2 linked regions of the Mytilus edulis genome follow. Each later gene encodes a partner of the first gene's protein in a complex. Links are inferred from orthologs where the notes say so. Each region holds a gene or a part of one and is shown in the gene's direction. Other genes may lie near its edges.

Region 1 (7,618 bases):
GAAAAGGATTTGTGACGTTTTTGGCACCGATTTGTACAGTTATTATTTGTAAAAGAGCAACAACTCGACTTTGGTTAAAGGTATGATACATTTAGAGAAAACTTATTTAGTAGGATATTAAGATTGTTCTGATTCTACGGAACATACGAAGGCATGTATTAATTATGCAGATTTTGGATTTTCATTTCTCACGATGGAGAAAATTGAAGACAATTTTGCAAACGATATATTGTCAGATGGTTGAATGAAAACAAATATACGGCTGATGTGAAATATTTCTTAAATTTTAGAAGATAAAGATAAGAGAAGATAAAGATAAATGATAGTTTATAAAAGTATCACATATTGATCTACAATAAAATTACAAACCAAAATCATAAAAAAAAGGATCAATACCCAGCCTATAAAGACTTACGAGACACTGTATACAAACAAAGGCTATTTCAGTTATACTGAAGGAAAATGTTTATAAAAAATAAAATCTGGTATGAATGCAAACCATGCCACGGTTCAAATCAATAAATGAAAAAAACATGTATGACAACAACCAACGAGATACCTCATTTTCCTATATTAAAAAAAAACACACACAAGTAATATTATTATTCTCATGATTCAATCCACAGGCAACTGTCTCAGAATTTTTTTTCCTATATACATTAATATATCATTAAGGTACCAATAGGGAAACAAAATTGGAGACAAGTGCCTGTGATTAAATCACATGTAAAAGCCTAATTTAGGTAAATTACAGGTGAAATCGCGAAAACGTAATACCATTTCTTAGAGCAAATGTAAGGCTTGTCATTTTCAAATTCGCTAAAAGTAGGTCGCTCATAATCAGAGGTTTGATATAATGCGTGATATACTTGTAGTATACTTATTTCAATTGAGAATTATTTTTTAGCGAATTTTAACATTTGAAACAAAAATAGTACTTTCAAACTTTAGGGAAGATCTCTTGAAAATAGAATACTCTACCAGAAGTCATTATTATAATGTATAAATCAAAACATGACCTGACACCAACATATTTATCCAATCGTATTGTGACTACAAATAGTAACAATCGTACAATACTTTTATTAGCAGATAATTGTATTTTCCCTAAATTAAATACAAAATAATTATACAAATCAAGTTTTTCCGGCTTTTCTTTTCATAAAACTTAGTGTGGAATTCACTATCCATTGAAATTAGTAAATAAAGTATATCTGCAATCAATTACTCTTACAAGTCTTTTTCTAAAGTGTAAAATTTATAAGCTACGCCACAATGTATACCGTATAGGTGGGTTTTTTTTTTGTTTTTTTTTGTTTGTTTGTTTTTGTTTGTTTTTGTGTTTTATTATTGTTATATATATTTGTGTTAATATACATCTATTGTTTATATGTGTGTAATAAGGTTATAAGATTAATTATGTTTACTTAATTTTGTTCATGTAGTTGCTATTGTATGTAGAGAGCCTTATTGAAAATTGGTTTAATGCAAACTTGATGAGTTACTCTCTTTAAAAAAGATATTATTATTATGTCACCCTGACGGAGGTCGGGTGACATATTGTTATTGTTCCAAATTTTTATTTTTTTTAAATTTTTTTTATTATTAATAATGATTATTATTTCACTCTTTTTGTCCAGACTATTTCTCGGAATTGTATGGACCAATGATGATTGATGGAACTTTATCATAATGTTAACCCCCATGTGTAGATGTGCAATCGGGGGCTGGCACTTTAAAGATGGCTGCCGTTGTCATGGAAATCGAAACTTGTGAATGTGAAAAATCGGAAAGTCTTCCAAACTGATTGAAGCGTTGTGGAATAAAATTATAATTATTATCTGTCTGTATTGGTACCTGTATGTGTACGTTGAAGACACAAATTCTGACTTTTACTCAACGGGAGAGAAAGACACCTATTAACGGTGTTGGTGAGCAGCCTTGAAGCTCTCAACTGTATCTGCGCATACAATACGGTCTTCCAGTTGGTTCCAGTGTAGTATGCTCTTGACAAAGATAGAGTTCTTATATGGATCGGTGCTGCTAGGAATAGTTTCTAGTGCCTTTAGAATTGTTCTTCACTGAATTTGTCACTATATTGGCACTTACAAAATTGTCAAATGTTTTGGGTTTGATTTTCCTCTTAGGTTTACTTTTAACAAGAAAATCGTCGGGATTAAGAGCTGAGACCAACACCTCAACCACTTTGTACAGAAATACCAGCCGCTGACTTGTTCTTCTCGTTTGTAGGTTGTCTAGTTCCAACTCGGCTAGTATTTTGGTTACCGACCCCTCTTCTCTAAACCTATAGTCGCCTGTAATGAATCTAGCTGCTCTGCATTGTATACTTTCAATTGATTTATATCATGCTGTGTATATGGTATCATATTATGGCACCATATTCCATAGTTGATCGTACTAATGATACATATGCGGTCATTTTGCAATCTTTTGGGCAGAAGTGTAGATTTCTTCTTAGAAAGCCGAGTGTGTAATTGGCTTTCTTGGCTACATTTGAGATATGCGTGGTCCATTTTATGTCTTCTGATATTTGTAAGCCTAGGTATGGGTTGCGTTGGACTTGTTGTAGTACATGTCCGTCTAGGCTGTACATCATCTGGCTTTTGTTCTTGATACTAAGTATATAGCACTTCTTTGCATTGAAGCGAATGCCCCAGTTTTTGGTCCATACTTCTAGGTTTTGGAGGTCTCGCTGTAGGAGTGTGTTGTCATGTTGACTATTTCTGTTCCTGTACAGGAGGCAGTCATCTGCGAAAAGTCTTCACAGAAGATTGTACTGAATCTGGAAGGTCGTTAATGTGGCAGAGGAAGAGAAGGGGTCCTAGTTCTGTACCTTGTGTTACACCGGAGTCAACTGAAGCTTCTTCTGATTCCTCCCCATCTACGACAGCTTTCATTTTCCTTTGGGTTAGGAACATCTCCAACCATTTGTTTAGTGGTCCTCTTATACCGTATTCATTCATTTTGTGCAGCAGTTTGTAGTGTGGCACAGTGTCAAATGCTTTGGAAATGTCCAGGATATCTACATCAATTTGTTTCCTGCGTCAAAGGCTTTCATGAAGTCATGTAGTGTGACTAGCAGTTGGGTTGCACAGGAATAGCCTGACCTGAAGCTATGGTTTAGTGATGTAAGTACTCTGTGCTTCTCTAGATGATTATTTTTTTTAAAGTATATGTCTACAGATAATATGTTCCAGTAGCTTGCATGGTACAGATGTTAGTGATACTGGTCTGTAGTTTTCTGGTGCATGTTTATCTCCCTTTTTGAAGACACTTGATATATTTACGTTTAGCCAGTCTCTTGGTAGTGTACCAGTGTTGATGGATTTTGGGAATATCATTGTAAGTCCAGGTGCTAGTTGTTTTGAGCATTCTTTCAATATACGGTTTGGTATGCCGTCTGGTCCTGATGCCTTGGATGTATTTATTTTTTTTCAGCAGCTTTTCGACTTCATCTGGTCTTATGTCTAAAGGCAGTATTGTGCTTTTTATATGCTTTGATGTTGTCGGCAGAGTTTTGTCTTTGGTTTTCTTTGCCTGTTGATATAGCCTTGTTTTCTTTTAAAACATTTTCCTGATTTTATGATTGATCCAGGGTAGACTGGTTTTAGATTGGATGAGTTTTGATGGTATATGGTTGTCAAGGTTCGAAAAAAGGTCTGTCTTGAACTTGTCCCATAATTCCTGTACTGTGGCGCCTGTATGGTACATTTCAATGGTGTTGGTTGAAAGGATATATATAGTCAGGTCTTTGTGTAGATCTTCCCATTTTGCTTTGGAGTATATGTAGCATTTGCGTGGCTTCTTACTCTGATAATGTGGTTTTATGTCGCAGTCTGTTACAATCATATCGTGGTCAGATTTTCCTGGAGCATTAGAAGATGTTTTGATAAGTGACGGGTTTGAAGTGAAGTTAGTCAGCACTATGTCCAGTAAGTTATTGCTTCTTGTTGGTGTTTCGTGTATCTGTGTTAGTGAGTGTGATATGATAACTTCCATTAGAGCTCTTTGGATTTCCTTGTCTTGTGCATTTTGGTTTGCGGACATGGTGTTCCAGTTTATGTCTGGGCAGTTGAAATCTCCAGTTGGTATGATGGTTTGATTTTTGTTTGAAATATGGTCTAATGATTTATCTAATTCCTTTATAAATGTGTTCCATGTTCCGGTGTCAGTGGCATATAGAATGAGCCTTATTATTATTATTATTATTATTATTATTATTATTATTATTATTATTATTATTATTATTATTATTATTATTATTATTATTATTATTATTATTATTATTATTATTATTATTATTATTATTTCCGCAATATAGTTAAATTGGGGCGGGTTGATAAGAGTGGGACGATTTTTTTAAAAAGAGGGGCGAGTTGGTGAAAAAGCGGAGCTGGTGTGGGTCGATTTTCCAATGGGGCGAGTTGATCACAGCTTACTATAAAAACATGGCGAAGAATCAACACATCCAACAGAATGAAGGCCCGCTGGTCAATAATTTCGAAGTACCGTCATGGTGTGTAACTAATAACGTATTTGAAATTGTGACTGAAACATATGTTATTCATTATTTATGCATATAAATTTAATTTTGACAGTGCATAACATAAAGAGGCCAAACCGAGTGTCTGTAATTCACTGTTTATTCAGTCTCGGGCATTTCTCTTTGTAATTATATACTTTTTTTAAAGGTTCATCATAACAAACGGACAAATATGGCTGTATTTACATTCCAAAAATTACTCTGAGTACAGACTTACCTGTAAAGTTTGAAAAGTTTTAATGCCTAGCATCCATTAGATATAATAAAGTTAAATGCATTTTGTGTTTCAGAAAGATAAAATCTCTTTTGGATTTTGATAGGCATTTTTTTTCCTTCATGCAAAAGGTTTGAAAATTGACCAAGTTGTGGTACAACTATGAGATGCTCCCTCAGGTAAAAAAACGGTTTGTATTGTTTTCACTGTCCTTAATTGACATGGACACCAGTAGTCCGATTACTCTGACGTCCAACGGCTGTTTTGCCAGACAAGCTGGGGCCGTGGGACGTCAGAGCTCGTCCCATATCAAAACGTGTATATTTGCCCACCCAAAATAGATGCGCTGCTTCGTTGCTTCTGGTGCCGACTGACGGCCTTGGAATTATATAAATCGGGCATCAATCTGTTCATTTTTCATTTATCTCTTCATTTATGTTAGCTGCGGAACCGTAGCTCTTATGTCCTTATGTTATTTTTTGACTATTTGCGGACCATAGAGCTACAGATTTTTCCTATTACAAAATGTTCGGAATTGCGACCCAGGTTCAGGTCGCACTTATTTCTCAAAAAAAATATTGTTTATAATCCATGCAAAACTTGTCAATATATATAGTTCGTTTCGTTAGATATTTTTCTAGGATATGACGTACCTATTTATGTTTGAATATTCATTTCCTTAACACTATTATCTAATTATTTCCATTTGTATACATTCTCCGCCTATTTTATTCGGTCATATTGAATCTCTCCGTGACTAGGACACCAGGTATCTTCACAACTTTGGGTGAGTTAAAGAGTTTATCTGAGTCAGTGAGTGGACAGTATCAAAGTAATTCAGGTGTTTGTTTATATTTGCACCTTCTGCAGAAAGGAAAAAAAAATGCCCATCAAAAACCAAGAAAGATTTTATCTTTTTTAAACACAAAATGCATTTAACTTTTATATATCTAGTGGATGCTAGGCATTAAAACTTTCCAAACAGCACAGGTAAGTCTGAACACAGAGTAGTTTTTGAGGTGAAAATACGGCCATATTTGTCCATTTGTTATGATGAACCTTAATTACACTGGTCACTTTTTCTGATATAATTATGTTTCGTCTGAAATGTGAAGCTACTCATAAACATTTGACAAAAATAGTTGTGTTAAGTGTTTACACAATATACATGTACTACTCTGTACAAACAAACCTTAAAACTGAGAAACCACATCTACTTACAGTAACCTGTTTGGTCTACAACTGGGGCTTGTATCATAGTGTAGTGACTTAAGTATACTAATAGATATATAAGAGTGTCGCTGAGTACTCTAAGGTTGAGAGTTACAAGGGTCTGTGTACAGCACCAAATTCCAGGCTCCTACCATCAGGAAACACGTCTGTTAGCTTGGACGTCTATATTAACTCTAAGGGAACTCCTGACCATTGGGAGCTCTCTTGACTAATGCATATTGTGTTTGATTGTACGTAACCGGCGTACTCTACAATAGATGCATTTAGTCTGGAATATGTCAACTGGTATGCATTCTAGACTACATGTTCAAGTCAAAAGTCGCCCAGGTAACACTATATTTAACAATCTGATCTACAGTACATGTACATCTATATGTTGACCTAGTACAAATAATTATGACGTCTTGTAAGGCTATTGTAATTTTTTTCTTTGACGCCTTACTTCGAAGTAAGAAGAAAAAAATTATAATAGCCTTTCAAGACGTCATAATTATTTAGACTATATGTTGACCATGTGATGTTATAGATTTAAATCAGGTTACTGCATCCCAAACTGTGGAACATGTATACAATTCTAGTTTTGATAAAATGCAATCATCACTGATCATAGGATTGAACGTTGATTTCAATTTAGACTTGTATGTATCTATATATAGCTACATTTTGTACATTAATTACCTATATTGTTCTTGACAGTGATCGGTTTTTTTTACCAACCACAAGCATAATGCCAAAAATCTTCAACAAGTCATGTGTAAAAAATGTAAAAAAATGCGAGTTCAAATTATTGGGATTACATGCAATGACATGTATTACCCTGTCACATTTTTTGCATTAATAAAAGCATCGCAATAATTTCTGAATTTACTGAAATGTTTCTGTTAATATATTTAGCTTTTGTTGTAAATTTGAAATTTTGAAATGAAAAGTAATACAGTCCTAATTTTAGAGAAAATGTTCCATTATCTGTTTTCACAGATTGTTGTCTCATATATTATGAGGAATATTAATTTTTGTCGAGCCTGCAACTTTTGTTGCAGAAAGCTCAACATAGGGATAGTGATCCGGCGTTGGCGGCGGCGTTGGCTAACTTTTTAAAAGCTTTATATTTTAGAAGGTGGAAGACCTGGATGCTTCATACTTTGTATATACATATAGATGCCTCATGTTACGAAATTTCCATCAGTCACATGTCAAATGTCCTTGGCCTCATTTTCATGGTTCAGTGACCACTTGAAAAAAATGTCAAATGTCCTTGACCTTATTTTCATGGTTCAGTGACCACTTGAAAAAAAAGTTCAGATTTTTTGTAATGTTGAATTCTCTCTTATTATAAGTAATAGGATAATTATATTAGGTATGTGCGTACCTTGCAAGGTCCTCATGCCCGTCAGACAGTTTTCACTTGACCTCAACCTCATTTCATGGATCAGTGAACAAGGTTAAGTTTTGGTGGTCAAGTCCATATCTCAGATACTATAAGCAATAGGGCTAGTATATTCGGTGTATGGAAGGACTGTAAGGTGTACATGTCCAACTGGCAGGTGTCATCTGACCTTGACCTCATTTTCATGGTTCAGTGGTTATAGTTAAGTTTTTGTGTTTTG
Region 2 (8,088 bases), on another chromosome or scaffold:
TGTGTTTTGGTATTGGTGATGTGTTTGTAGATCTTACTTTACTGAACATTCTTGCTGCTTACAATTATCTCAATCTATAATGAACTTGGCCCAGTAGATACAGTGGAAAATATTTTGTAAAAATTCACAAAATTTTGAAAGTTGTTAAAAATAGACTATAAAGGGCAATAACTCCTTAAGGGGTCAATTGATCAATTTGGTCATGTTGACGTATTTTTAGGTCTTACATTGCTGTATACAGTTTATCTCTATCTATAATAATATTCAAAATAATTACCAAAAGCTGCAAAACAAGTTTCTCAAAATTGCCATTTCAGAGACAGCAACCTAACAACGGGTTGTCCGATTCATCTGAAAATTTCCTGGCAGATAGATCTTTACCTAATGATCAATTTTATCCTGTCAGATTTGCTCTAAATGCTTTGTTTTCAGAGATATGGGCCAAAAACTGCATTTTACCCTATGTACTATATTTAGCAATGTCGGCCATCTTGGTTCGCGGGCGGGGTCATCGAATACACTTTAAAATAAGATACCCTAATGATGATTGTGGACAAGATTGGTGAAATTTGTCTTAGTAGTTTCAGAGAAGAAGATTTTTGTAAATAGTTATCACAGGTACCAGGATTATAATTTAGTACGCCAGATGCGCGTTTTGTCTTCATAAGACTCATCAGTGACGCTCATATCAAAATATTTATAAAGCCAAATTAGTACAAAGTTGAAGAGCACAGACGATAGAAAATTCCAAAGATTTACAAAAATTCCAAAAAGTTGTGCCAAATAAGGCTAAGGTAATCTATGCCTGGGATAAGAAAATCCTTAGTTGTTCGAAAACCAGGATTACAATTTAGTACGTCAGACGCGCGTTTTGTCTTCATAAGACTAATCATTCTAATGCAACAAATTTGTAACATTCATTTTGATTGGATAACGTCACATATTTACATTGTCAATTGATGCTATGGGACGTACGCGCAAGCGGCTGCGCAGACGTCATATGGCAAACTTTAAATACATTTTTTAACGTTGTTTTCAGTCAGTTTCATTAGAATGGAGATAACAATATTGTCTAACGCGTCGCCAGTACACTTAATTTGCGACCATCAAATCCTCAATTGATGCCGTCGGAGCTTAAAATACAATACAGTTATCTCCTAATTCTAATGCAACAAATTTGTAACGTTCATTTTGATTGGATAACGTCACATATTTACACGCGTTTCATCTACATAAGACTCATCAGTGACGCTCATATCAAAATATCTACAAAGTCAAACTAGTACAAAGTTGAAGAGCATTGAGGATACAAAATTCCAAAGATTTACAAAAATTTACAAAAATTTACAAAAATTTACCAAAAAAATGTTAAAAATTGACTAAAGGGCAATAAATCCTTAAGGGGTCAGCTGACCATTTTGGTCATGTTGACTTATTTGTAGACCTTACTTTGCTGAACATTATTGCTGCAAACAGTTTATCTCTATCTATAATAATATTCAAGATAATAACCAAAAACGGCAAAGTTTTCTACAAATTCAGGGGCAGCAACATAACAACGGGTTGTCCGATTTGTCTGAAAATTTCAGGGCAGATAGATTTGACCTAATGAAATGCAAGATTTGCTCTAAATGCTTTGGTTACAGAGATATAAGACAAAATCTACAGTTTACCCCTATGTTCTATTTTGAGCCATGGCGGCCATCTTGGTTGGTTGGCCGGGTCACCGGACACATTTTTAAAACTAGATACCTCAATAATGAGTGTGGCCAAGTTTGGATAAATATGTCCCAGTAGTTTCAGAGAAGAAGATTTTTGTAAAAGTTAACGACGACGGACGACGGACGCCAAGTGATGATAAAAGCCAGGCCAGGTGAGATAAAAACATTTGTCGAAGCCGTTTATAGCTGACTATATGGTATTGGCATTTCTCATTGTCGACGACCGTATGGCAGGTAACCATAGGAATGCACTTCATTTAAGAACTCTGTTGGCTAGTTGTCTCAGGGGCAATCCTTTCACATATATCTTATTTCATACTAGAATAAGAAACAACTACGTTCAGATTTCATTTCAAATACACATACATGTACATGTATGGCTCATTCAAGATATAATAAAATGTGTCTTGAGTAATCAACAGAAAGCTCCAAACCAAACCACACAATAATTTCGATTAAATTAAAAATGTAATTTATCGATCAAGACACAGAGATCAATTTATCAAAATCTAATACACTGAATCGTTTGGGGTAAACAACCATCACAAATCAGAAAACACTTCATAATCTGATCTGTTGCTGTTTATATTCCAAATTAGAGTATTGATTGAGCTGAAAAAAGTATATATTTATAGTGTACTGTAACCAAAGGAGAAAGTGGTCAAAGTCTTCTACAGGAAATTAAAATATAAAAATATACAAACCTGATATTAAGAATCCATTCCAAATCCAATAGTATTGCTGTACCGGAAGTAGCTGAGTTTGTTATTTGCTTGCCAAAACGTGTTAAAGTTAATGTGATATTAAAGCCGTCTTTTGATGTAGTGTTGTATTTAATTATGTTTAGTGAGATGGTATATATACAACATTTTTAATCGATTTGGAATTGCCTTTATTTTTAAAATCATATTATCTTGAAATCGACATTTGCAGGTAATTTCTAAGTGGAATATCGATCTGACCGTTACCTGTGTAATATTGTCAAAGTCTAGCATGAATAATTCATTTGGGACAGTTTATATAATTCATCACAATTCCAATATTTGACATCTGCCTAGTAAATAACTCGACCTTTATCGGACAATACGTATATCAGTTATATATGTTGTTTTAAAACACATATTTGAAATAGTATTTTTTCTATATTGACAAAGTTGCTGTCAGTGATAGAATGATCTAGAATGGGTTTTCCCAAACATCGCATTTGTCATGTCATAAACAACATATCAAATAATTATAAGTGTTTTGGAGTTTTGGAGTGTGTTTTTGTTTTACTTTTATGAATTGCATTTGACTAAGAAGATCTGACTGGAATATAACACTGTCTATTACTACAGTTTATGAACTAAAACCATATAGAATCGTCTGACGGTCTGCTTCAATATTATAGACCATTATACGACAATTGGCGCAAACACATTATGGAATCTTGTTGATAAATAATGAGAATTGTATAAGTTTTGTTTTATGTATTGTCCATTTTGTCATTATGATTTTGTGGTTTCAAATTTAAAATCCAAACCTTAACTTCATATAGAAACAGTTTATTTCTGGATTTGTGTCAGCTATTTTCTTCCTATTAATGCTCTAGATTTAAAGCTAACCGAATTGACATTTTAGCAGTAACCTTTTCATCTGCTGTTGCATATCATAATTTTTAAGCGAATATTATAGAACAATTCAGATAAATCTGTACTGAGTATTCAGCTAAGATTATGAAAACTTTACATATATAAGCGGTAACAGGCATGTTATAGACTAGCTAGCTCTACGTACACCAGCAATGCCCACGCCACACTAGTCGAACAGGACAAAAAACAACTACGAAATATAAGTTCTCCAGCAAGGAAATGATAGTAATGCCATCGTATTGTTCAGGAGAATTTTTGTTAAAGTTTATGTTAAATAGACTCAATGTAGATAACTGATTGGACAGTCAAGCTTCAAACATTTTAAATGCTCTGACAAAAGCAAAATGATTTTCACGAAACTTCAAAGGTTTTAATTCCTTCGCAATAAATGTTTGTAAGCCCATAACCTGGGATAAAACTTTAAAACACACTAATCTATACAAATCAGTTCAATATGACATCGAAGATCCGTAAAAAACACTATGCAAGTGAAAATAAAAACAACATACATGAATTACCGAATTAAGAGTACTCGCCTTCACTGGAGCCGGTCAAGTTCAAATCTCTAGTTCAAATAATAAATAAACATCTGGTGTTCCCCCAAGGAACAGTTAATGCCCTATTCTGTTCCGTGTGTATATATCAAACACGAGAACACTTGAGTTTTTTTTTTTGGGGGGGGGGGGGGGGGGTAGATCACACCATAATTTGCAAATCAATACGAAAATAAAAAGACCGTTAGATTCACTGCCAGATTTGCCCATGTCATTCCATCCAGAGAAGTGTTCGGTCATTGAGATAACAACCAAGAAAACCCCATTAGAATTCAACTATACCCTTCAGCAACATTTGCTGCAAAAAGAAATATCCACAAATGATCTTGGCTAAACAATCCTTACTGAGCCCAACCTAAAATGGAACGCATCCGTGATCTTCTACAAAATCATAGATCATATTGTAGTCATATACCCGACAGATCTACTTAGTACGCAATCTGACACAATAAAATGTCAACATTCACACATGTATACCAATATCTGTTCTCAACAAACATCTAAACACTTAAATATGATCTATAGTAAAAAAAAAACAGAAGAAAAGGGAACTTTATGCATCGGTTGGAATTTTTATTTCATTTTGTATATATTTAACTGTAAATAGAAATTAGATCCCACGCACCCGCTGGCTTGTGGTATTAGTGCCCGGGCACCTTATCATCAGTATATTGGTGGTGTGCTGAAATATAAAGAAGAAGAATAAATTAAGTGTCGTCGATCACGAGCAATCATGCACGGTATCTAAACCATGTTATAATATTGTAAAAAAAATATAGAATAATCTGTTGATATTTGCCGCTGGTCGATAAATAACCACCATATTTTAATAATAACTATGCATTGACCTTCATTTATCTATATATCATTATTTTTCGTGAAAAATTCCTAAATATTAATTCAGAAAAAATACAATATTCGGAATAAAACCGTGTCCGATCCCATCCGTACAACTTTTATTGTGTTACATCGATTACCTCCCTTGTTAAAAACTAATAATGTTCGTATTTTTTTGCCAAGAAAGTTGACCTAAGTAAAGAAAGATAGATGGAGGTTTTTAAGAAGAAAAAATGTAGAGCAATCAGAAAAAGACGTCACTCATCAGAGAGCGATGACAATTCGAACGAGGATGCAGATGACATTGAGTAAATAATTAGTTCATAACAAATGGACAAAAAAATTTTGTTGGTGAATTTTTAGTCCGAGATTACTCTGACGTCCAACGGCTGTTTTGCCAGACAAGCTGGGGCCGTGGGACGTCAGAGCTCGTCCCATATCAAAAAGTGGATATTTGCCCACCCAAAATAGATGCGCTGCTTCGTTTTTGGTGCCGACTGACGGCCTTGGAATTATATAAATCGGGCAGCAATCTGTTCATTTTTCATTTATCTTTTCATTTATGTAAGTTTCACCTACCTGCCAACTTTCATTTTTCCATATTTTAACAGTTTTCACAGAGACCCATCGATTTCTGAATTTTGACTTTCACTAGTCTTTAGTCTTTAGTAAGTGTCCCAAATGACACTGTAAACACTTGTGTACGTTTCCTCTTTTGTAGTTTCTTCACATATGTAATGTTCACTCATGTACTTAATTGAAATTGTGGCTGCTGCTTAAAAAATTTTGACTTAATTTTGATATAGATTTATAGTGTTTTTTGCTGTATAGTGTTTTTGAATCTACCAGACTCCTTTAAATAATTTTCCAGATGGCACAATATCTCATTTCGATTGTCTCTATTAATTTCTTCTTCATCGATTCCTAATAAGGTGTCTAAATCCATGTGTATATTTCCTGTAATGAAGTAAATAGATGTTCTCATCCTCTCTCTAGCCTCCTCATAGTTAGAACAATGTAAAAGGTAGTGTTCTACAGTTTCTGGCTCTCCACAGGAACAGTTTTTGTCTGATGATGGTATAATTTTGGATTTATAATCATTTAGATCACAATAACCTGTTCTCAAACTAGAAGTAATTGAAAACGACCATTTGGATGGTAAATCTTTTGGTATTTTCTGACAGACTTTTTGATGATAGTTGTAATAATTTCTGCCACGTTGACTTGATTCCCATTGGTTTTGCCATTTTCTTAAAACACTTTCTCTTGCTGCACGTTTTATATCCTGCCTGGTTACTTCTGATGGTTCTTCTATTTTTTCAGCTTCTTTAGCTCCTTTTTTGGCCAGTGAATCAGCAATGTCATTTCCTTGGATATCAGCATGACCAGGTGTCCATTCAAAATTTAATGGAATTCCATTCATCTTTAATACTTTCATGTTTTTCTTAATTTCTCTTATGACTTTGATGTAATTCTCTGATTTCCAGTTTAAAGTTAAAATTCCAATTGAGGTCTGACTATCTGAAAAAAGTGTAATTGAGTCTGTGTTTTGTCTGTTTTCTGATATTAAAAAGTGGTCAACAACAAGTTTAATGGCGATCAGTTCTCCTAGTAGTATTGATCCTTTTTTGGATACAGCTTTACTAATTTCAATTTGTGGTTGATTATTTGATGGAAAGATGACAGCACCTGCTCCTACAGGGCCAGGACTACCAAGACAGGACCCATCAGTAAATGCTATACATGAATTTGCTGGAAGATGACTTAGTTTTTCCATTATTATGTGTTTTCCAACATTTTTTTGGTCTGTTAATCTTGATTTGGAATTTCCAAGGTTTTTCCAATAATCTGGAGGAGATTTATATCTTTGTATCCCATTAAACTGAAATTCTGCTTCTATACCATTTACATCAACACCTGTACATACCTTCATGTCTTCTGCCTGAAGAATCATTTTTCCCACTGGAGATACATATTTTTCAGGGATGTCAATTGTTTTCCAATCATCCAGGATTTGTTTTATTGGAATGGAGATATCATACGAAATAATTTTTGCAAGTGTACGAGTTGCAATTTCTTCTCTACGCAGATGTATTGGTAGGATTCCAGAAACTACTTCCAAAGTCTCTACACTTGATGTTGGGGTAACATTAAGGCATATAGCTAATCCCTTTCGTTGAATTTTGTTCAGTTTGTCTGTTATATTGGTTTCACAGGTCTGCCAAACACTACTTGCATATTCTAAGGTGGAAAGGACAATACTTTGGTAAATTTGAAGTAGAATTTTTGTAGAAATTTTTGCAACTCCTTTGATCATTCTAAGTAGGCTAATTGCTTTATGTGCCTTTTGTTCTACATTTTCGATGTGTTTGAGAAATAATAGTTTTTCATCTAACGTGACTCCTAATATTTTTGGATTACAGTTATATTTTAACAATTTACCTTCTAGTTGTAAATTCATTTTCTTTATTGGACCATTCCTTGAAAAGATACAATATTCTGTTTTCTCAATACTTAAATTAATTCTCCATTTTTTGGTCCAATCCTGGATTATGTTAAGATCCTTTTGTACCTGTTTCTCCATGTCATTCAAGTTCTTTCCATTTATCCATACATTACCATCATCAGCAAATTTGCACTTTTTACATGATAGGTTAGCAAAAATGTCTTTGATAAAGATATTAAAAAGAAGTGGAGCTATAACTGATCCTTGTGGGAGACCTATTTTGGTTTCAAACCAGCTTCCTTTATGGTTGTTAATCACACACCTTGCTTGTCTTTCCTTTAAAAAATTGTTAATCCAATTCCAGATGTTACCTTTAACACCGTTATCATAAAGTTTTGTTAGAAGTCCTTCCCTCCAAACACTGTTGTATGCTTTTTCAAGATCAATAAAGACTGCTAATATAAATTCGTTGTTATTGAAGGCATTAAAGATGTTTTGAGTTAAACTTAACAAGGCATTTTCAGTAGAGCGATAGTGGCGAAACCCTTCTTGTTCTGGATCCAATATGGAGTTGGTCTCTATATAACCTTCTAGTCTAGATGTTACTACTCTTTCCATAACTTTACCCAGTATACTTGTGAGACTAATTGGACGATATGAAGAAGGGTTATTATATGTTGACTTTCCCATTTTCCTTATAAATTTAACATTTGCTAGTTTCCAAGGTTTTGGAAGTTTTCCTTCTTCCCAAGATTTGTTAAACACATATGACAACACACTGTATAAGCTTTCATCTGCCTTCATTAATAATTCTGAAAAAATTTGATCAGGTCCAGGTGCTTTGTCATTTTTTAAACGTTGAATGGCACCTATTAGTTCATCTGGATCTATTGGTTCAT

What was found.
Region 2: nuclear inhibitor of protein phosphatase 1-like (region 1) and splicing factor C9orf78 homolog share a complex: the UniProt entries of both Homo sapiens proteins name them as parts of the spliceosome. The link is inferred for Mytilus edulis from reciprocal best matches to the Homo sapiens genes PPP1R8 and C9orf78.

What each region holds. Positions count from the first base shown.
Region 1 is NC_092344.1:126,236,548-126,244,165, forward strand, and holds the start of nuclear inhibitor of protein phosphatase 1-like, read left to right. Parts: upstream 1-4,410; 5' UTR 4,411-4,469; coding exon 4,470-4,537; intron 4,538-7,618. UniProt on the Homo sapiens protein: Inhibitor subunit of the major nuclear protein phosphatase-1 (PP-1). It has RNA-binding activity but does not cleave RNA and may target PP-1 to RNA-associated substrates. May also be involved in pre-mRNA splicing.
Region 2 is NC_092345.1:81,922,595-81,930,682, forward strand, and holds the start of splicing factor C9orf78 homolog, read left to right. Parts: upstream 1-4,878; 5' UTR 4,879-4,953; coding exon 4,954-5,051; intron 5,052-8,088. UniProt on the Homo sapiens protein: Plays a role in pre-mRNA splicing by promoting usage of the upstream 3'-splice site at alternative NAGNAG splice sites; these are sites featuring alternative acceptor motifs separated by only a few nucleotides. May also modulate exon inclusion events.